3 linked regions of the Anolis sagrei genome follow. The protein of the gene in region 3 interacts with the protein of the main gene of each other region in a biochemical or structural test. Links are inferred from orthologs where the notes say so. Each region holds a gene or a part of one and is shown on either strand. Other genes may lie near its edges.

The links. The genes of interacting proteins can lie anywhere in the genome.
Region 1: the proteins of EPS15 (region 3) and NUMB form a complex in vitro, tested with the Homo sapiens proteins (2 studies listed by BioGRID and IntAct, with this or other methods). The link is inferred for Anolis sagrei from reciprocal best matches to the Homo sapiens genes EPS15 and NUMB.
Region 2: the proteins of EPS15 (region 3) and FCHO1 form a complex in vitro, tested with the Homo sapiens proteins (2 studies listed by BioGRID). The link is inferred for Anolis sagrei from reciprocal best matches to the Homo sapiens genes EPS15 and FCHO1.

What each region holds. Positions count from the first base shown.
Region 1 is NC_090021.1:286,265,603-286,273,575, forward strand, and holds the start of NUMB (protein numb homolog), read right to left. Parts: upstream 3,063-7,973; 5' UTR 2,979-3,062; intron 2,973-2,978; exon of another isoform or gene 2,499-2,972; intron 1-2,498. UniProt on the Homo sapiens protein: Regulates clathrin-mediated receptor endocytosis. Plays a role in the process of neurogenesis.
Region 2 is NC_090034.1:62,482,856-62,490,450, reverse strand, and holds the start of FCHO1 (F-BAR domain only protein 1), read left to right. Parts: upstream 1-4,533; 5' UTR 4,534-4,603; intron 4,604-7,595. UniProt on the Homo sapiens protein: Functions in an early step of clathrin-mediated endocytosis. Has both a membrane binding/bending activity and the ability to recruit proteins essential to the formation of functional clathrin-coated pits.
Region 3 is NC_090024.1:174,235,393-174,242,514, reverse strand, and holds the start of EPS15 (epidermal growth factor receptor substrate 15), read right to left. Parts: upstream 3,106-7,122; 5' UTR 2,981-3,105; coding exon 2,954-2,980; intron 1-2,953. UniProt on the Homo sapiens protein: Involved in cell growth regulation. May be involved in the regulation of mitogenic signals and control of cell proliferation. Involved in the internalization of ligand-inducible receptors of the receptor tyrosine kinase (RTK) type, in particular EGFR.

The DNA.
Region 1 (7,973 bases), on a different chromosome or scaffold from region 3:
AAACCTTTATCGTTACATAATAATAATAAATTTGACAGTGTAGCTGCAACCTTAGCAATATAGCACCCTTGCGTCTCTATATTTGGAAAAAGACAGGATAAAAATAAATAAACTAAATCAGTATAAAAAATAATAATAAATTTGATGATGTAGATGCACCCTTACCAATACAGCACCTAAGTCCCTATACCACAGGCATGGGCAAACTTCAGCCCTCTGGGTGTTCTGGACTTCAACTCCCACAATTCCTAACAGCCTATCAGTAGGCTATTAGGAATTGTGGAAGTCCAAAACACACAGAGAGCTGAAGTTTGCCCATGTCTGCTATATCTGGAGAAAGGCAGGATAAAAAATAAATTAAATTAAATACATTATTATTATTAATTTGACCATGTGGCCCAGGCATGGACAAACTTCGGTCCTCCAGGTGTTTTGAACTTCAACTCCGGCTGATAGGAATTGTGGGAGTTGAAGTCCAAAACAGCTAGAGGATCGAAGTTTGCCCACGCCTAGTGTAGATACACCCCTAGCAATACAGCAGCCAAGTCCCTATAGCACAGTGTTTGTCAACCTGGAAATCAGGACCCCTGGGGGGAGGGTCGCAAGTGGGTATCAGAGGTGTTGCCAAAGACTATCAGAAAACACAGTATTTTCTGTTAGTCATAGGGGTTCTATGTGGGAAGTTTGGCCCAATGCTATTATTGGTGGTATTCAGAATGCTCTTTGATTGTAGGTGAACTATAAATATCAGCAACTACAACCCCCAAATGTCAAGGTTTATTTTCCCTAAACTCCGCCAGTGCTCACATTTGGGCATATTGAGTATTCATGTCAAATTTGGTCCAGGTCCATCATTGTCTGAGTACAGAGTGCTCTCTGAATGTAGGTGAACTACAATTCCAAAACCCAAGTTCAATGCCCACCAAACCTTTCCATTATTTTCTGTTGGTCATGGGAGTTCTGTGTGCCAAGACTGGTTCAATTCCATTGTTGGTGGAGTTCAGAATGCTCTTTGATTGTAGGTAAGCTATAAATCCCTGCAACTACAACTCTAAAACGACAAAATCATGCGCCCCCAACCCCACCATATTCAAATTTGGGCATATCAGGTATTTGCGCCAAATTTGGTCCAGGGGATGAAAACACATCCAGCGTATTGTGATATTTGCATGAAAATTCATAACAGTAGCAAAATTACAGTTATGAAGTAGCAACGAAAATAATTTTATGGTTGGGAGTCACCACAAAATGAGGAACTGTTTTAAGGGGTCATGGCATTAGGAAGGTTGAGAACCACTGCTATAGCAGAAGAAAGGTGGTGGGACAAAATAATAATAATAATTGAAAAAGGAGATAGAGGGCCTGATTCTGGCAGCCCAAGGACAAGCTATTAGAACAAATGCCATCAAAGCCAGAATTGAAAAGTCGACAACAGATCCCAAATGTAGAATCTGCAAGGAAGCAGATGAAACAATAGATCACATCCTCAGCTGCTAAAAGAAGATCGTGCAGACAGACTACAAGCAGAGGCATAACAGATGATTCACTGAAACCTGTGCCACAAATACCATCTAACTGCAACAAAGAACTGGTGGGATCACAAGCCGGAAAAAGTTACAGAAAATGAACACGTCAAACTCCTCTGCGCCTTTTGTATTCAGACAGAGTTTTGGAACACAATACTCCCCTTTTTTCTTTTCTTTTTTGGCGCATGAACTGCTATTATAGATCAGAACCACAAAAACGTGGATACCAAAACAGATGTACCAGCTATGGAAACTTGAATATCCAGATTCAAGCTACTCTCGGACTTCCGGATTCAGACAGAGTTTTGGAGCACAATACTCCTGACCTCACGATCGTGTTAAAAAACAAAGTATGGACTGTCGATGTTGCAATCCAGGCAACAGCAGGACTGAAGAGAAACAACTGGAAAAGCTGACACGATATGAGGATTTAAAGATCGAACTGCAAAGACTCTGGCACAAGCCATTCAAGGTGGTCCCAGTGGTGATTGGCACACTGGGTGCAGTGCCTAAAGACCCTGGCCTGCACTTAAACACGATCGGCGCTGACAAAAATTACCAGCTGCCAGCTGCAAAAGGCCACCTTACTAGAATCTGCACACATTATTCGTCGATATATCACACAGTCCTAGACACCTGGGAAGTGTCCGACGTGTGATCAAATATAATAGGCAGCAGAGTGATCTTGTTTGTTGTGGACTCATCTTGGTGTGTTTCAATAATACCATAAATAACTAACAAAAATAGCAATAATTATTTTGAAGTAAATCAAATGGTTCTCTAGATGATGCAGAATAGATGCCCCCTTAGAGAGACAGCATCCAGGGGGAAAGGAATTGGCTGCCAAAAAAAAAAAAAAAGCATGAGAGAGACATGAGCTGCTCTGAGGAAGGAAGGAAGGAAGGAAGGGAAGGGAGGAAAGAAAGCCAGTTAGTTGGCAACCTTCCTCCAAAAAAGGAAAGGCAAGAATACCTCAGCGAACGAACCGAAGAGGAAGCCGGGGCCTAGCCCTTCTGAGAGGGAGGCCACTCCTGAGGGAAGTGAGGACACCGTCCGAGGCCTCCGGGGCCGAGAGCGAGGAGGACTTGGGGCGGAGGTCGCCTGCCTCAGCCCTCCGCCTTCCTTCCTTCCTTCCCTCAGGGCTCCTCGCCCGCCTGCATTCCTGGGCAGCCCCCTTCGCTCCGGGGCTGCTGCTGCTGCTGCTGCTTCTTCTCCCGCCTTGGCTTCTTCACTCCCTTCTTCCCCTCAAGACGCCCTCGCTCTCTCGCTGGCTCCTTTATCCCTTCCTTCTTCCCTCAGCGCCTGAGGCGAGGCACCTTCGCCCTCTTCCTCTCAATTCCTCTCTCTCTCTCAAGCCCGGGCCTTTCCCCGCCGCCCTTTCCCCTCAGAGCGGCCCCACCCCGGAGAGTTCCCCGGGCCCACTCAGCCGGCCGCTCGTTCGCTCGCTCTCACCTGCTCCCCGCAGCCGCCTGCCTGCCTGCCTCCCTTCAGCGCCTCCTCAGCCGCCAAGCCGCCCGCGGCCGCCCCCTTCCCCGACGCCCTGGCAACAGAGCCCGCCTCCTTCGCCTCGCTCGCCTTCCCCGCTCCCCGGTTGGCTAACTCGGAAGCAGTTCCTCGTCGCCATTGGGCAGCGGGGTACGCCTGTCAAAAATTTGACCCCGCCTCTTTTTTCAGGGCGTTTTGATTTACTCCCGAGCTCCCTCCTCGCCCGCCCGCCCTCACCTCCTCTCGTATTGGTTCAAACTCAAGACGCGATGGCTGGGATAGGTCGAAAGAGGAGACATCATGGTATATGTCCCCGCCTCCTGGTACAGGTTGGACTATAAGTACCCCGCACGGTTTGGTTGCACGGTAGAGAAGGCAGAAGTTCAGAAAACTGGGGAGTTTGTCAGGGCATTTCCACATAGTCATAAAGTCACCCAGACTATCAAGGCAGAAAACTTCACAATATCTGCTCTGAATTGTAATATATGGCAGTGTGGACTCAGGGCCTTTCCACACAGCATATCTCCTTTGAACTGGAATATATGGCAGTGTGGACTTGGGGCCTTTCCACACAGCCATATAACGCAAAATACCAAGGCAGAAAATCCCACAATATCTGCTTTGAACTGGGTTATATAGCAGTTTGGACTCAGGGCCTTTCCACACAGCCATATAACCCAGACTGTCAAGACATAAAAATCCCACAATATCTGCTTTGAATTGGAATATATGGCAGTGTGGACTCAGGCCCTTTCCACACACCTATATAACCCAGAATATCTGCTTTGAACTGGGTTATCAGAGTCCACACAGCCATATATTCCAATTCAAAGCAGGTCATGTGGGATTTTATTCACATGTGTGGAAGGGGCCTCAGAGTTCCATCTATATATTGTCAAGCTCAAGCAGTTCCTGACACCACTTTGACTGCCCTGGCTCAAGGCACCAGTACTCTCTGGCAGAGGAAGTTATCAAGATCTTGCAAACTACAACTCCCATTATTCCATAGCATTGAGCCATAGCAGTTAAAATTGTGTCAAATTGCCTTAATTCTAGAGTGTAGATGTACTTCCTGTGCTGATGGGAAAAAAACGCATTTGTCTTCAAGTGCCTCAGCTTGATGTTTTATCGTCTTACGTTGTTCTCACAATACTGCATGCTAAACAATGTACGATTGCATATATGTTACATTCAAACTAAGACTTTTGGGATCTTCTGAGAATCATGGAACTTGGAAGTTGTCTCTAGAAGTGCCACAGTCCCCCTTGAAGTGGAAAACCACGTCTCTGAAGCCTTTTGATCAACCAGCTGAAATTTCTTTCTTGGCAGCTAAAATTAATTCTCATTTTTTCTGCTGCCATTTCCTTTAAAGGGATTTGACCCTATCCATCTACTTTTCACTATCCTAACAAAAGGGAAATGGGCAATTTGAAAATTTAATTGCTGTAGTGAATTATTAAAAGCCCTAGTGATTGATGAAAGCTGTGTCAGAACGTATGATTTGTGAGATGAACTGGGCCATTAGCATGAGATCTGCTGCCTTTTTGCTATTTAGGTCCACTACGACTCAGATAATAATCAGCTGCTCTGCAAAACACAGCAAATGGGATTCAGTTGCCTTCAGGGACAGCACTAGGAAGAGCGGAGGAGCACAAAATTGATATCTATGTGTGAATCTACACTGTAGGATTAATGCAGTTTAACACCACTTGAACTTCCCTGGCTCAATGCTGTGGAATCCTGGGAGCTGTAGTTTGGGAAGGCTTACTTTACTTACTTACTCAGGCAACCCCTCGTTGTCTGAGTAGGATAGTCTTCCAAGATCAGTGTACTGGCAGTGGGTCCACAGGTGGCTATGAGCCCTATTCTTGATCTGCATCTTCTCCTTCAGTGAGGGCACTGGTTTCCAGGTGGAAGGCGGTCCCAGTCGGGGTTGGCTTGACGCATCTTCCTCTTGGCAAGTTTCTCTCTTTCGCCCTCCATTCGTACCTCTTCAAATTCTATAGCACTGCTGGTCACAGTTGACCTCCAGCTGGTGTGCTCAAGGGCCAGGGCTTCCCAGTTCGAAGTGTCTATGCCAGAGTTTTTAAGGTTGGCTTTGAGCCCATATTTAAATCTCTTTTCCTGCCCATCAACATTCCGTTTTCCGTTCTTGAGTTCGGAGTAGAGCAACTGCTTTGGGAGACGGTGGTCAGGCATCCGGATAACATGGCCGGTCCAGCGGATTTGATGGCAGAGGACCATCGCTTCAGTGCTGGTGGTCTTTGCTTCTTCCAGCACGCTGACATTTGTCCGCTTGTCTTCTCAAGAGATTTGCAGGATTTTCCAGAGGCAGCGCTGATGGAATCATTCCAGTTGCATGTGACGTCTGTAGCCAGTCCACATCTCGCAAGCGTATAGCAGGGTTGGGAGGACAATAGCTTTATAAACAAGCACCTTGGTATCCTTATGGATGTCCCAGTCCTCAAACACTCTCTGCTTCATTTGGGATGGCATCAGTGCTCCTTAGCAGAGAAGGCTAAAGGCCTTGTCAAATTGCAGCTCCCGTGATCCCATAGCACTGAGCCAGGGCGGTTAGGGTGGTGTCAAACTGTAATAATTCTAAAGTGTAACTGCACCCTTCATTATGGTAATAGAAGACCAAGTGCATAATTGAAAACTGACTGATGAGATCTGAGCAATGTTAATGTTTGAGCTGCTCTTTCTAAGCATCTGTCAGTGGTTCTCAACCTCTGAGTCCCCAGGTGTTTTGGCCTACAACTTCCAGAAATCCCAGCCAGTTTACCAGCTGTTAGGATTTCTGGGAGACGAAAGCCAAAACATCTGGGGACCCACAGGTTGAGAACCACTGATCTAAGTGTCTTCTGCTCTAGTTTTCTTTCAATGTTTCCCACAAGGTTTACACCTGACTGCTGGGGATACTTCAGATTTTTTAAAAAGACAGCCCAATCTGGAATTAGATCTGCTTCTGATGTTATAACAGGCCCTACAATATGAAAGTAGCAGTACAATCCAGTTATTGAAAGCCTCTTCCTGGAGTATTTCATACACAGAACGAGTCCTGAAGTAGGCAGTGCTCCAAATGTTTCTGCAATGTAACATTTGGCTTAGAACTATTTATGTGCTGATTGTTGTAACAAAAAGACACAGGACTGTATGACTGGCATGTAGGCATTTGATTTCTGCAGCCACCAAGAGAAAAAATGTGACTGTGACATGTATAAATGCGTAAAACACGTGTATTGACAAATGCTGATAAGTATCTGATGAAGAAAAGAAATGAAGAAAGAGCTGCTGTCATGGTGAACAAAGGAAATTTGTAAGCAAACACAAGAAAGAGAAAGCATATCACCGTGTAAGTATGTACATGTCTACTCAGGATACATTTACACTGTTAAATTAATTCAGTTTAACACCACTTTAATTGTTATGGTTCAATGCCATGGAATCATGCAATTTGCAGTTTTGTGGAGTACCAGCATTTATGGCAGAGAAAAATTACAGCTCCTGTGAATCCATGGCATTAAGCCTTGGTAGTTAAAGTGGTGTCAAACTGCATGAATTCAACAGTGGTACTCAGAGGTAAGCTTAATTGATTCAACAGGACTTGTTCCCACGTATACAGAACTGCAATCATGAGAAATCAAGAGGGTATATTTTTATCCTTGGCTGTTTTGATTTAATAGCAGAAGTGAAAAGAATATCTGCATTTTAGCACTTAATGCTTTAAGTATGGTATTATCTTAATTTGCTAAAACAGAAGATAAATGGACAGTGTCAAGTACGATTAGTTTTCACTTTTCCATGTGGCATTACGCCCTTTTCCAATTATGTTCATACATGTTTATGTTCTCCCACACTTGCATCCCAAAGCCCTTTTTGGATAGCATCCCTAAACCTGTTCACTCTCAAACAGGCTGTTACTTTAAGATAAAATTGATGGTACTAGAATAATTTTTAAATGGTTATACTTTAAATTTTCCCCCTCCACCCTTCGTATTTAAGCCTATTTCTTAGTTGGTATTCTTTAGCTGAATCAAGGGATTAATTATCCTAATTGCAGAATGCTGAGTGGGATCTTGTTTTTGCTGACAGGAAAATTCAGATAAGGCATTGAGCTTTAAACCTGCATGCCAACAAAAAAGACATTAACATGTGTCATGGTGTGACCTCAGCGGTGATATATTACAGTAGCTGTAGTATGAATTGAGATTATTATCACAAGTTATAGAACTTCAGCAGAAATTAGGTGAATCTGATATATTAATAATAGGTGAAATTATTTTCAGTTTTTAAAATGCCTTCTCAATATATACAGTATAGTAACTTTTAATTTTTAAAAGTATTTTTCCTGTACATATCTGCTTTTAATGAGGAAGAGGAGGCATGGGATAATACAGAATGATTGACGGAAGAAAAAAGGAAAATACTTCAACTTGTACATTGATAATTCTTCAAAAAGTTCAATTTGGAAGATCTTCATCTTTTTTAAAAAAAAACCCTCAGAGTAGAAACAAAATTCCAACACTAGCAAAGTTTGAGACTAGGCGATTTAGTCCTAGCTTCTAATTACGTAGGTTTGTTCATTACTGTGTGTTAGGAGTTCAGCACTGGGAGGAACAATAGAGTAGTACTCAGTGACTGAAACTAGGAATTGGATACCTGAAAGGCTGTTTGTCTCGGTTTAGGCCTGTCGGCATATTAAAATCTGATTTAGCTTTCTCATGATGCCCCCACCATCCTAGATGCAGTTAATAGCTACAACTAAAAAAACCCTATTCAGTTGTGGCATTACAGCTGTGGAATGCTCTCTTCTGGGAAAATTATTTGGCTTGTATTTCAATATGATTTTGACCCCAAAGCCTTTCAAATTTCCCAGGCTTTTTCATTTAATTCATATTGCTTTCATGATACTTGTGTTGATTTTTGTGGACCACTATAAATATTCCTGTTCTATTGTGT
Region 2 (7,595 bases), on a different chromosome or scaffold from region 3:
GAAGAGAGTTGGACTGGATGGCCTTAAGTATTTTCTGTTGGTCATGGGGGTTCTGTGTGGGAAGTTTGCCCCATTTCTGTCATTTGTGGGTTTCAGAATGCTCTTTAATTGTAGTAAACTATAAATCCCAGTAACTACAAATCCCAAATGTCAAGGTCTATTTCCTCCAAACTCCATCTGTGTTCATATTTAGGCATATGGAATATTTGTGTCAAGTTTGGTCCAGACCCTTTTAAATAAATAAATAAATAAATAAATAAGATCCATCATTGTTTGAGTCCACAGTGCTCTCTGGATGTAGGTGAACTACAACTCCCAAACTCAAGGTCAATGCCCACCAAACCCTCCCAGTGTGTTCTGTTGGTCATGGAAGTCCTGTATGCCATGTTTGGTTGAATTCCATCTTTGGTGGAGTTCAGAATGCTCTTTCATTGTAGGTGAACTATAAATCCCAGCAACTACAACTCCCAAAATGTCAAGGTCTATTTCCCTTAAACTCCATCTGTGTTCATATTTGGGCATATGGAATATTCGTGCCAAGTTTGGTCCAGATCCATCATGGTTTGAGTCCACAGTGCTCTCTGGATGTGGGTGAACTATAATTCCCAAACTCAAGGTCAATGTCCACCAAACCCTTCCAGTTTTTTCTGTTGGTCATGGGAGCCCTGTGTTCAATTCCATCATTGGTGGAGTCCAGAATCCCCTTTGATTGTAGGTGAACTATAAATCCCAGCAACGACAATTCCCAAATGACAAAATCATAATGTTTTGCGTGATGGTCACTCCTTGTGTTGTGAGACGTTTTGTTGCCAAATTTGGTGTGATTTTGTTTATTGGTTCTTTTGTTTTTAGGGAACTCATTATGCACAGAGCATTTATATAGATAGATAGAAGACTGATAGATAGAATATAGATAGAGAGATAGATAGATAGATAGATAGAAGATAGATAGAAGATAGATAGATAGATAGATAGATAGATAGAAGATAGATAGATAGATAGATAGAAGATAGAAGATAGCTAGACAGAAGATAGATAGATAGATAGATAGATAGATAGATAGATAGATAGATAGATAGATAGAAGATAGAAGATAGCTAGATAGAAGATAGATCGATAGATAGATAGAAGATAGATAGATAAATAGAAGATAGATAGAAGATAGATTAGATAGAAGATAGATAGATAGATAGATAGATAGATAGACAGACAGATAGAAGATAGATAGAAGATAGAAGATAGCTAGATAGAAGATAGATAGATGGCTAGATAGATAGAAGATAGATTAGATAGAAGATAGATAGAAGATAGATAGATAGCTAGATAGAAGATAGATAGATAGAAGATAGCTAGATAGAAGATAGATAGCTAGATAGATAGAAGATAGATTAGATAGAAGATAGATAGAAGATAGATAGATAGCTAGATAGAAGATAGATAGATAGATAGAAGATAGCTAGATAGTAGATAGCTAGATAGATAGAAGATAGATTAGATAGAAGATAGATTAGATAGAAGATAGATAGAAGATAGATAGATAGCTAGATAGAAGATAGATAGATAGATAGATAGAAGATAGCTAGATAGAAGATAGATAGCTAGATAGATAGAAGATAGATTAGATAGAAGATAGATAGAAGATAGATAGATAGCTAGATAGAAGATAGATAGATAGATAGATAGATAGATAGATAGATAGAAGATAGATAGATAGAAAATAGATAGATAGATAGAAGATAGATAGATAGAAGATAGATAGAAGATAGATTAGATAGAAGATAGATTAGAAGATAGATAGAAGATAGATTAGATAGAAGATAGCTAGCTAGCTAGCTAGATAGAAGATAGATAGAAAATAGATAGATAGATAGAAGATAGATTAGATAGAAGATAGCTAGCTAGCTAGCTAGAAGATAGATAGATAGATAGAAGATAGAAGATAGCTAGCTAGCTAGATAGAAGATAGATAGATAGAAGATAGATAGATAAATAAAAGATAGATAGAAGATAGATAGATAGAAGATAGATAGATAGATAGATAGAAGATAGATAGAAGATAGATAGATAGATAGCTAGATAGATAGAAGATAGATGTTTATAATATAATGTAATGTAATGTATGTGGGGCCCCCGGTGGCGCAGTGGGTTAAAGCACTGAGCTGCTGAGCTTGTTGATCGAAAGGTCGCAGGTTCAACTCCGGGGAGCGGCATGAGCGTCCGCTGTCAGCCCTAGCTTCTGCCAACCTAGCAGTTCAAAAACATGCAAATGTGAGTAGATCAATAGGTACCGCTCCGGCGGGAAGGTAAGGGCACTCCATGCAGTCATGCCGGCCACATGACCTTGGAGGTGTCTACGGACAACGCTGGCTCTTCGGCTTAGAAATGGAGATGAGCACCACACCCCAGAGTCGGACACGACTGGACTTAATGTCAGGGGACTACCTTTACCTTTACCTTAATGTAATGTATATACATAGAATATTTATAATATAATGTAATACAATATAATACTAATAATAATAATGTAATATTATAATTATATATTTTATATTACTAATAATATTACAATAACAGTGACAAATGCAAGATACTCCACTTTGGCAGAAAAAACGAAATGCAAAGATACAGAATGGGGGACAATGCCTGGCTCGAGAGCAGTACGTGTGAAAAAGATCTTGGAGTCCTCGTGGACAACAAGTTAAACATGAGCCAACAATGTGATGTGGCGGCAAAAAAAGCCAATGGGATTTTGGCCTGCATCAATAGGAGCATCGTGTCTAGATCTAAGGAAGTAATGCTACCCCTCTATTCTGCTTTGGTTAGACCACACCTGGAATATTGTGTCCAATTCTGGGCACCACAATTCAAGAGAGATATTGACAAGCTGGAATGTGTCCAGTGGAGGGCGACTAAAATGATCAAGGGTCTGGAGAATAAGCCCTATGAGGAGCAGCTTAAGGAGCTGGGCATGTTTAGCCTGAAGAAGAGAAGGCTGAGAGGAGATATGATAGCCATGTATAAATATGTGAGAGGAAGCCACAGGGAGAAGGGAGCAAGCTTATTTTCTGCTTCCTTGCAGACTAGGATGCGGAACAATGGCTTCAAACTACAAGAGAGGAGATTCTATCTGAACATTAGGAAGAACTTCCTGACTGTGAGAGCCGTTCAGCAGTGGAACTCTCTGCCCCGGAGTGTGGTGGAGGCTCCTTCTTTGGAAGCTTTTAAGCAGAGGCTGGATGGCCATCTGTCAGGGTTGCTTTGAATGCAATATTCCTGCTTCTTGGCAGGAGGTTGGACTGGATGGCCCATGAGGTCTCTTCCAACTCTTTGATTCTATGATAGATAGATAGATAGATAGATAGATAGAAGATAGATAGCTAGATAGATGATAGATAGATAGATAGATAGAAGATAGATAGATAGCTAGATAGATAGAAGATAGATAGCTAGATAGATAGAAGATAGATAGAAGATAGATAGCTAGATAGATAGAAGATAGATAGATAGATAGAAAGAAAGAAGATAGATAGATAGAAGATAGATAGCTAGATAGATAGAAGATAGATAGAAGATAGATAGCTAGATAGATAGAAGATAGATAGATAGATAGATAGATAGAAGATAGATAGAAGATAGATAGATAGATAGATAGAAGATAGATAGATAGAAGATAGATAGCTAGATAGATAGAAGATAGATAGATAGATAGATAGATAGATAGAAGATAGATAGATAGAAGATAGATAGATAGAAGATAGATAGCTAGATAGATAGAAGATAGATAGAAGATAGATAGATAGATAGATAGTAGATAGCTAGATAGATAGAAGATAGATAGCTAGATAGATAGAAGATAGATAGAAGATAGATAGATAGATAGATAGATAGATAGATAGATAGAAGATAGATAGCTAGATAGATAGAAGATAGATAGATAGAAGATAGATAGAAGATAGATAGATAGATAGAAGATAGATAGCTAGATAGATAGAAGATAGATAGCTAGATAGATAGATAGAAGATAGATAGATACTAGCTAGCTAGATAGATAGATAGAAGATAGATAGATAGAAGATAGATAGAAGATAGATAGAAAGCTAGATAGATAGAAGATAGATGTTTATAATGTAATGTAATGTATATACATATAATATTTATAATATAATGTAATACAATATAATACTAATAATAATGTAATATTATAATTATATATTTTATATTACTAATAATATTACAATATAATGGTATGGTATGATATAGTAATATATCATACTGATATTGTACTATGCTAATAATATAATATATTGTATGTATAATATATCTTGTAAGCCGCTCTGAGTCCCCTTCGGGGTGAGAAGGGCGGCATATAAATGTAAACACAAGACAATGTAAGGCAGGCCTGTACGCGCCTGCGCAGAAGCGCACGCCAATAGCGGGATGGAAATAGGGCCGCTTCTCCTTTAAGCATGCAAATAAGCCCAGCGGGGCAGGCCAATCAGGAGCGCTTGTGCTCCGCAGGGGTGGGGGGGGCTGGCTGTGCCCGCTCCCCGCCTGGTTTTGTGTGCAGAGGACGCGGCGCAGGTGCGGGATCGGCGCGCGACAGGTCGGGGGCCGGGACACACCCCCACCACTGCGGGGAGGGAGAGAGGGAGGGGGCTTCATTAGCCTTGAAAGGGAGGGGGTTTGCCAAGGTGCATGCACACACACACACACATATATATAATAGTATGTGCATCTAATTTGCATAGATGTACATTATCATAGTGTTTTGCAATATTTTATGCATCCATATGTGTGTGTGTGTTGCAAGGGCATGAAATGTCCATCTTATTTGCATAGATTTGTCTAATTGTACATTTTTGGTGTGTGTGTGTGTGTGTGTGTTGACAACCACCATAACAGATGCACACTTCATGTCATTACAATATATATATATATATATTGTAATGACATGAAGTGTGCATCTGATATGGTGGTTGTCAATTTTTTTTTGCATGCTAATATATGTGTGTGTGTATTGCAATGGCATGAAGTGTGCATCTTAGTTACATAGATTGGTCTAATTGTACCTTTTTTGCATGTGTGTATATATATATATATAGTAAGGACAGGAAGTGTGCACCTTATTTGCATATATTTGCATAACAATTGTGGCGTGCACGTTTTTTTGCATACTCATACGCTCCCTGCATTGTCTATCGTCTATCTATCGTCAAAACAACATTCTGTTTATTATTTATTAGTATACAAATAGCTTATATGGTCTAGTGGGGAGGGAGCATTAATACACAACAGTCCCATTTCATATTATCTTTATTATTCTTTTTATTGTTATTATTATTTTTATGATACTATTGTTATTTTATTGATTATATTATTTATTAGTATCAGGAAGTGTGTCGAGGTACTGCAAGTCCCATTGTCCAAACCACACCAAGATGTTGAGTTGGTCATGGGGGCTCTGTATGTCAAGTTTGGTCTTGATCGGTCATTGGTGTGGATCACAGTTGTCTCAGGAAGTGTGTCAAGGTACTGCAAGTCCCATCATCCATGGGCCGTCATCCCACAGACCACACCAGGATGTAGAGTGGGTTATGGGGGCTCTGTATGCCAAGTTTGAGCTTGATCAGTCATTGGTGTGGATCACAGTGGTCGCAGGAAGTGTGTCAAGGTACTGCAAGTCCCATCATCCATGGTCCATCATCCCACAGACCACACCAGGATGTAGAGTGGGTTATGGGGGCTCTGTATGTCAAGTTTGGTCTTGATCAGTCATTGGTGTGGATCACAGTAGTCTCAGGAAGTGTGTCAAGGTACTGCAAGTCCCATCATCCATGGTCCGTCATCCCACAGACCACACCAGGATGTAGAGTGGGTTATGGGGGCTCTGTATGTCAAGTTTGAGCTTGATCAGTCATTGGTGTGGGTCGCAGTCATCTCAAGAAGTGAGTGAAGATACTGCAAGTCCCATCATCCATGGTCCAAACTCTTCCAAACCACACCAGGATATTGAGTGGATCATGGGGATTCTCTGTGCCAAGTTTGGTCTGAGTCAGTCATTGGTTTGGGTCAAAGTGCTCTCAGGAATGAGTGAAGGTACTTCATGTCCCATTGTCCATGGTCTATCCTCCTCCCGATAGCACCAGGATGTAGAGTGAGTCATGAGGGCTCAGTGTGCGAGGCTTCATCTTGATCAGGCATTGGTGAAGGTTGCAGTGGTCTCAGGAAGTGAGTGAAGTTACTGCAAGTTCCATCATCCATAGTCCATCCTCCTCCAAACTGCACCATGATGTAGAGTGGGTCACGGGGGCTCTGTGTTCCAAGTTTAGCCCTGATTCATCATTATTGGGACTTGTAGTGGTTTCAGGAAGTGAGTGAAGGTACTGCATCTCCTATCATCCATTGACCTATGTCCCCCAAACCTCACCAGGATTTAAAGTGGGTCATGGTGGGTCTGAGTGGCAAGTTTAGTCCAGGTCTCTGATTTTTGGGGACCACAGTGTTCTGTGGGAAGTGAATTGGGTGAAGAGACTGTAAATCCCATTATCCATGGTCCATCCTCCCTCTAACTACACCAGGTTGTAAAGTGGGCCAACTTTGGTCTTGATCTGTCATTGGTGGGGGTCGCAGTGGTCTTTGAAAGCTTACGTTTTTGGAAGTACTGCAGATCCCATCATCCATGGTCTGTCTTCCCCTAAACCATGTGCCAAGTTTGGTCCAGGTCCGTCAATCGTGGGGGGTCGCAGTAGCCTATGGAAATGGCAGCCAATCACAAAGCTGCCACATACCCGCACCGCCGCATACATAGGAACACTGACTTTATTATTTAGTTAGATACAGATAGATGTGTGTGTGTGTGTGAGTGTGTAATTATGGCCATGTGAATTTTTGGGAACACTATTATTACTATTATATTTATTATTAGTAGCAATATAATGATAATTATTGCCGTTATTATATTATATAGTAGTGTTATTATTTATTATGTATATTACTATTATACAGTGTGTGTGTGTGTGTGTGTGTGTGTGTGTGTGTGTGTGCATTTATGTGTTTGTGTGTATGTATATATACATTGTGGCCATGTGAAGTCTTGGGAACGATTATTATTATTAGATACACAACCAGATTAGGACACAGCAAACAAGATCACTCTGCTGGCTGTTGTATTGGATCACACGTCAGACACTTCCCAAGTGTGTGGGACTGTGTGATGTATCGGCGAATAATGCGTGCAGATCCAAGTAAGATGGCCTTTTGCAGCTGGCAGATGGTAATTTTGTCAGCACCGATTGTTTTCAAGTGCTGACCAAGGTCTTTAGGCACTGCACCCAGTGTTCCGATCACCGCTGGGACCACCTTGACTGTTTTTTTTAATATTATTATTATTATTATTATTATTATTATTATTATTTGAAACACAACAAGATTAGTACACAGCAAACAAGATCACTATGTTGGCGGTTGTATTGGATCACACGACACTTCCCAAGTGTATTATTATTATTATTATTATTATTATTATTATTATTATTACATGTTATTCTTGCCCTTGGCTCTTACTTGATTTTGGATGTTTTCAAAGCCGAAAGGTT
Region 3 (7,122 bases):
TCCACATTTTCTGTTTTGAACTGGAATATATGGCAGTGGGGACTCAGATAGCCCAGTTCAAAGCAGATACTATGGGATTTTCAGCCTTAATATTCTGGATTATATGGCTGTGTGGAAGGGCCCTGAGTTAGGCCTGTAATTGTTCCTCCATGAAAACAGCACCAAATTCTTATTTACACAAATATAAAGAACCCCAGGAGGTACACATAGAATAATGAGGATTGCATAAATACACAGCACCTACACAAGTCATTATGACTACATTTCCTGTTTTTATCTAAAAGACTAATTAACATGAAAGGCAGCAATCCTGCCTTGGCATCTTCTTATCCCAGTCCAAACACTGGTGCTTTCCTAGTCAAGAAGGATTTTTACACATTTGAATTGAAGTGGGGCTTCTGTGCCACCAGAACTTATATATTAACATTCAGACCATCATGTTCCAAAAAGAACTGGAGAAATAAGCTATTCAAGAGTTACAAAAAACAAACCTAAGTTTCACCTTTGACTTTTTCTGTTCTCTATGTAACACACCTAGCTTGTTCTGAGGCTTGTGAAGGTAAGTATTTACAAAGAGAGAGAGACATTCACGGGACAAAAGTGGCTTAAAAAAGAGTGTAACACAGAGCAAGAAAAATATATGTATCTCTTAGGAAACAGGCAATGTACACAAACTTTGTTTCATGTACAAAGCTATTAAAATATTGTTTATAAAATTGACTTCAGGTTATAGGAAACATGAATGAATGTCACATTTAGACTTAGGTCCCATCTCCAAGCTATCTCTTTATGTGTATGTAAATATTCCAAATTTGGAAGCACTTTGGTTCCAAGCATTACAGATAAAAGACCTTCAACCTATCTTACAGTGTATTTACACTGTAGAATGTATAGTTTGACACTACCTTAACTGCAGCAGCTCAATGCTATAGTGTACTTTGGTAAGATACCAGTGGTCTTTGGAAGAATAGGCTAAAGGCCCTATAAAACTACAACTCTCATTCCACAGCTCATAAGTATGGGGCTCAGTATTTTCGCCACTGGACATGAAGGGTTATGGTAAGTAGTAAAGTAAGTAAGTATGGTGGTTAAAGTGATATCAAACTGCATTAATTCTACAATGTAGATGAGAAAGTGCATGGACGGGTCAACTCCTGGGGCAATCCAGAAACACATTTGCTGCAGTATAACAACTTTGGTAAGGGTGCATCTCTACATCATAGGATTACTGCAGTTTGACATTACTTTAACTGCCAGGGATCAATGCTATGGAAACCCAGGAGTTGTAGTTTTACAGGATTTTTGCACTGCTACAGTAGTTAAAGTGGTGTTAAACCATACCCAGTCTACAGTGTAGAACTGTAGATGTACCCACAGTACAGTACACTTCGAAAGCAACATCTAGGGGTGAATGTACTGTGGAATTAGTACAGTTTGACACCACTTTTAACTGTCACGGGAGGTATAATTTTGTGAGTGGCTAGAAAAGGCTAAAGATCTTATGAAATGACCAATCCCATTATTTCATAGCATTGAGCATTAATAGTATAAGCCCCCTTCCTTACAGCTGAATAAAATCCCACATTATCTGCTTTGAACTGGAATATATGGCACTGTGGGAGGGCCCTAAGTCTGCAGCGTATATGTATCCCTAGAGCGGTGGTTCTTAACCTGTGGGCCGCAGACCACCAGTGGGCTGTGAGGACGAAAATCCGATCCGCGAACCTTTCCTCTTTATTTATTTAATTTTTGCTCCTTTTGCACCGCCTGCCACTCCTTCCCTGTTGTTCACCATGGCACATGTTCTGTATCAGAAACTAGAGCTGATGTGGTCTGTTCAATGCAATTTTCTGAATCACCACCCCAAACCGAATCTAAAGTTGACCATAAACTGACTTGTAACTCCTTTGGTACTAATGTCGGAGAGTGGCCCCGGTCAAAGCGATCCCTGGTCAAAAAAAGATTGATAACTATGTCAGGAGCGACTTGAAAAACTGCAAGTCACTTCTGGTGTGAGAGAATTGGCTGTCTGCAAGGACGTTGCCCAGGGGGCGCCCAGATGTTTTGATGTTTTACCATCCTTGTGGGAGGCTTCTGTCATGTCCCTGTATGGGGAGCTGGAGCTGACAGAGGGAGCTCATCCACGCTCTCCCCAGATTTGAACCTGCGACCTGTTGGCCTTCAGTCCTCAGGGTTTAACCCACTGTGCCATCGGGAGCTCAGTACTGCCCTAGAGAGATGAGAATACTATGGGGTCCTGGGAAGGGTAGTTTTGCAAAGTTTTGAGCCTTCTCTGCCAGAGAGGGGCTGCTGTCTCACCAAAAAACTACAACTCCCAGGGTCCTTTCCCGCAGGCATGGGCTAACTTGGGCCCTCCAGATGTTATGGACTTCAACTCCCACAATTCGAAGGCTGTTAGGAATTATGGGAGTTGAAGTCCACAACACCTGGAGGGTCCTGGGGCAGGCATGGGCTAACTTGGGCCCTCAAGGTGCAGTGGACTTCAACTCCCACAATTCCTAGACAGGAATTGTGAGAGTTGAAGTCCACACCTGGCGGGCCCTTCCACACAGCCCTATATCCCAGAATATCAAGGCAGACAATCCACCATATCTGTTTTGAACTGGGTTATTTGAGTCCACACTGCCATATATTCCAGTTCAAAGCAGATAATGTGGGATTTTATTCAGCCCAAGTTTGCCCATGCCTGCTATATACCAAGACTGTACAACTGCTACAGGGCTCACGATGCAAAACTACAGACTCCGTGGCAGTTGAGAGAGGTGGTTGTAAGATAAGGGCCTGGAAGAGGCAGGCCGCGTCAAAGGGGAAGGGAGGGAAACACAAAAGCGGGGGGGGGGGAGGAACCGGGGGGCGGGAGGAAGCCTTTCCCTCAGCCAAGGGCCCCTCCAGAGGGTTTCCTTTTCCGCCCTCCCGCCTTCCCCACAGTCACCTGCGTCAAGGAGAAATGCGTGGCCATGCTGCTTCCATCCTGTAGCTCTCCCCTTCGCGGAAAAGCGGAGCAAGGCCCGGCCCTCCGTCCCTCACTCTCTGCCCAACTTCAGCAACTTCCCGAGACGCCCCGGACAGGCCCCGCCTCCCTGCCTTCCTTCCTTCCCTCCCTCCCGGCAGCCTCTCCGGAGCAGAGCCGGCCTCCCAAAGCTCCCCAGGCTCAGGGGGAGCAGTGTTGTGCGGCTCCTCTCTGCTGCGGCCTAGCGAGAAACTCTCCCACCAGGCCTCAAGCTCGCTTCCTAAGGCGTCCTCGCCACTTTCTTCAACTATGAGGAATGGAACCTGAATGGATTTCGTACACAGTGTCCCTCTTGGAGCCAGAAAATAGTAACTCTATCTAAGACAATGGTTCTCAACCTGTGGGTCCTCAGGTGTTTTGGCCTACAACTCCCGGAAATTCTGGGCACCACAACTGAAGAGAGATACTGACAAGCTAGAATGTGTCCAGAGTAGGGCCACTCAAATGATCAAGGGTCTGGAGAACAAGCCCTATGAGGAGCGGCTTAAAGAGCTGGGATTGTTTAGCTTGCAAAAGAGAAGGCTGAGAGGAGACGTGATGAGGGCCATGTATAAATATGTGAGAGGAAGTCATAGGGAGGAGGGAGCAGGCTTGTTTTCTGCTGCCCTGGAGACTAGGACGTGGAACAATGGCTTCAAACTACAAGAAAGGAGATTCCATCTGAACGTTAGGAAGAACTTCCTGACTGTTAGAGCTGTTCAGCAGTGGAACTCTCTGCCCCGGAGTGTGGTACAGGCTCCTTCTTTACCAGCTGTTAGAATTTCTGGGAGTTGAAAGCCAAAACATCTGGGGACCCACAGGTTGAGAACCACTGACCTAAGACCTCATTACACTAGAGCAGGCCTAGGCAAACTTGGGCCCTGCAGGTGTTTTGGACTTCAACTTCCACAATTCCCAAAACAAATCCGGCCCAGCTTACCTGTTTGAACGTATCTCTCCTTATGAACCATCTAGGAACTTAAGATCATCAGCTCTTATTCCCACCTTCGCAGGCGCATCTGGAGGAGAGGAGAGACAGGGCCTTCTCAGTGGTGGCCCCTCTGCTGTGGAATTCCCTCCTTAAAGATATTAGATTGGCCCCCTCTACCTCCTGACTTTCTGTAAAAAAAAACTGGCTCTGAACAAGCTTTTGGAAATACAGCATAATAGATAAACATGGAACTATGAAAGAGTAAACATGGAACGGCTTAGACGATGCTACTGGAAAAATGAGTCTTAACAGGAAGACACAGGCAATTATATGTTTTAAAGGGTTTTTTGTATGGATTTGTATAATGTTGTGCTTTATGTTTTTTAATTGTATTTTATGACTGTTGTGGCATCAAATTGCTGCAAATTTGTAAGCCGCCCTGAGTCGTCTTCGGGCTGAGAAAGTCAGGATTGAAATACTGTAAATAAATAAATAAATTCCTAACAGCCTCAGGCCCCTTCCTTTTCCCCCTCAGCTACTTAAGTTGATATAAATAGTATCAATCCCACTTACAATCCAAATGCTAAAATCAAAGCAAACAGATCAAAAGAACAAATCACAATACATAGAGAAAATAATCCTAATAAAATATATTACTTATAGCTCATAACTCCAGTCAGTATATTTTCTTGCTATATATATACACACACACATATATATCTCTCTCACACACTTTGGATATCTCTCATGGGGATTCGGTGGCTTACAAAATGAAGGCAGTCATTTGATGCCTCAAAAATAATAAGCAATAAATTGAATAATAAATATATAATATAAGCGTTCTATCATAAAACAAATCATAATAAAAACAAATAAACCACTTTCCACAACAACAATCGCATGTGTTAAAAGCCATATCCATAGAACAGTCCTTATCAGTCAAAATTTTGCTTATGGTAGAAACAAGGATTGGTGAGAAAACTCCAGTGGGGACACCTTTTCTCCATGATGATAACTTTCAGGAGTAAATTTCCCTTGCAAGGGGTAAATTTCTCTTACTTCCTGTTGTCTCATCCCTGTTCTTAACTAGCCCTCTCTAGCTAACGCTATGCTCTCACCACTAATCTCTATGAGGGGCTTTCCCCCTCCATTGTCACCCCTCAAAATCAAATTGCCCCCCTGTGGGACATGTACCCCATTGTTGGGAACTAGGGGGCTGCTCTAAATTATATGTCCTTTAATGGGAGAGAATGGCCTTTCATGAGTTTTGGTATGTTGTAAAACCAGTTTCTGCTTAATACGCCCTCCGGACAGTACTGACATCCCTCACATTAGATTTGAAATATATAACTATGGAGTTTGTTTCTAAAAGGTACTAAATCCATATGAAAAGTTAAAGGGATTTTTTAAATGTCAGAAATGACTTGAGAAACTGCAAGTTGCTTCTGGTGTGAGAGAATTGGCCGTCTGCAGGGATGTTGCCCAGGGGACGCCAGGATGTTTTAGCATCCAGTGGGAGGCTTCTCTCATGTGCCCACATGGGAAGTTGGAGCTGACGGACAGGAGCTCACCCCATCTCATGGATTCAAACCACTGACCTTCAGGTCAGCAGTTCAGCCGGCACAAGCGTTTAATCCATTACGCCACCATAGTCGCAGATAATAAAAATCCCTATACCAAAGTGATTTGATATATCTTGCTAGTTTTGATCTGTACTCCTAGCCAACAATGTGCTGCTACCCATAATTCCTTTTAATTTTTCTTTTTTTCTTTTTTCTTTTTGGATTTGGTACCTTTTGGAAAGAAACACTACAATTATGTTCATGATATAAGATACATGAAATAAGAAGCAGTCGTGGTTCCTAATTCTGAGATGTCACAACATGTGTTTATATAATGCAATATTCATGATAATAAGCACCAAGAAATTTTATTTTTAAAGCAAAATTAAAGCTGAGATTTTCTTTTCAGACAGTCAGATCCTGGACTAATGACATTCTTCCACTTGTATGTATCTATTCACATTGTTCAAATTGCTCCAAGTGACCTATTTATCAAGGACAGGTTTTATTTTCTGGTATCTGTCCTTGTTTGATAAAAACCATCCTTTTTTGCCGTTGGGAAGATATTTTTCATTAACTTTTAAAGTTAATGCACAAATTTGTCCCCCGCCATTCATAAATAATTGAATGCCTCCTGCAATTATTTGAGTTGCAGTTATTTTCTTCCAAAAAAAAAAAAAACCTGACCCAATATACCAGTAGTATTATTTACCATTCTGCTAAATACTCCTTAGCTGCCATGACTCACTGTTATAGAATCATGGCAGATGTAGTTTGGTTAAGCACAAACACTATTTGGCAGGGAAGACTAAAGAAACTACAACTCCCAGGAGTCCATAGTACTGTGCTATTGCTATTAAAGCAGTGTCGTGTGGCATTACTTCTATAGAATCACCTTACTGGCTAGAGTGTTTAGCTGTGTATAGCTGTGGAGGTAACAGGAGGGGTTTCAGGAAAATACCATAAGTAAAGGTATTACATGTCCTCAAACTATCCCTATTTTTATCTGAGAAATGCTGGAGAGTCAGATCTATTTAGACTAGGGGTGTATGTGCAAATATTTCACGTTTATTGAACAAATCACACTAAGATGAAAGAATTGCTTTGTGAGAGCAGTTAGCATATTTAACTCAAGGTTGCTCTCAGAAGTTGCTACACACATAAATTAATTCAACAAATGTGTAAGTCCGAAGTATAATTGCGGCTTGTACACTCCACAAAAAAGGGCTCTGCCAAAAACAGAGCACTGAAATGTTGCCGCAAAAGAGTAAATATGTCAATTGCTTTGGTTTGCTTGATTAAAACAGTTTTATCGCTGTTCAGCACAAATTTATATTCAAACTAGCTGCCTTCTCAGACTCTGCTATGTTTATAGTCAAGCTGTAGTAGGCCAAATTAGTCATAGTTGATTGAAATGGGTCGTCAGTTCCCTACATATACTTTAAATTTAAATTAGATAGGATAAGTGCACACACACAGGAACAGCAGAATTCACTATCTTATTGAGTGTATTCTACCTTCAGAGTCAATAATCATTTGCAGCAATACATAAGAAAGACCTTGTTGTCCTCATATGCAGTTTTGAGAGTCAAAGGCAATGTGAGATGGAAAATAGGACT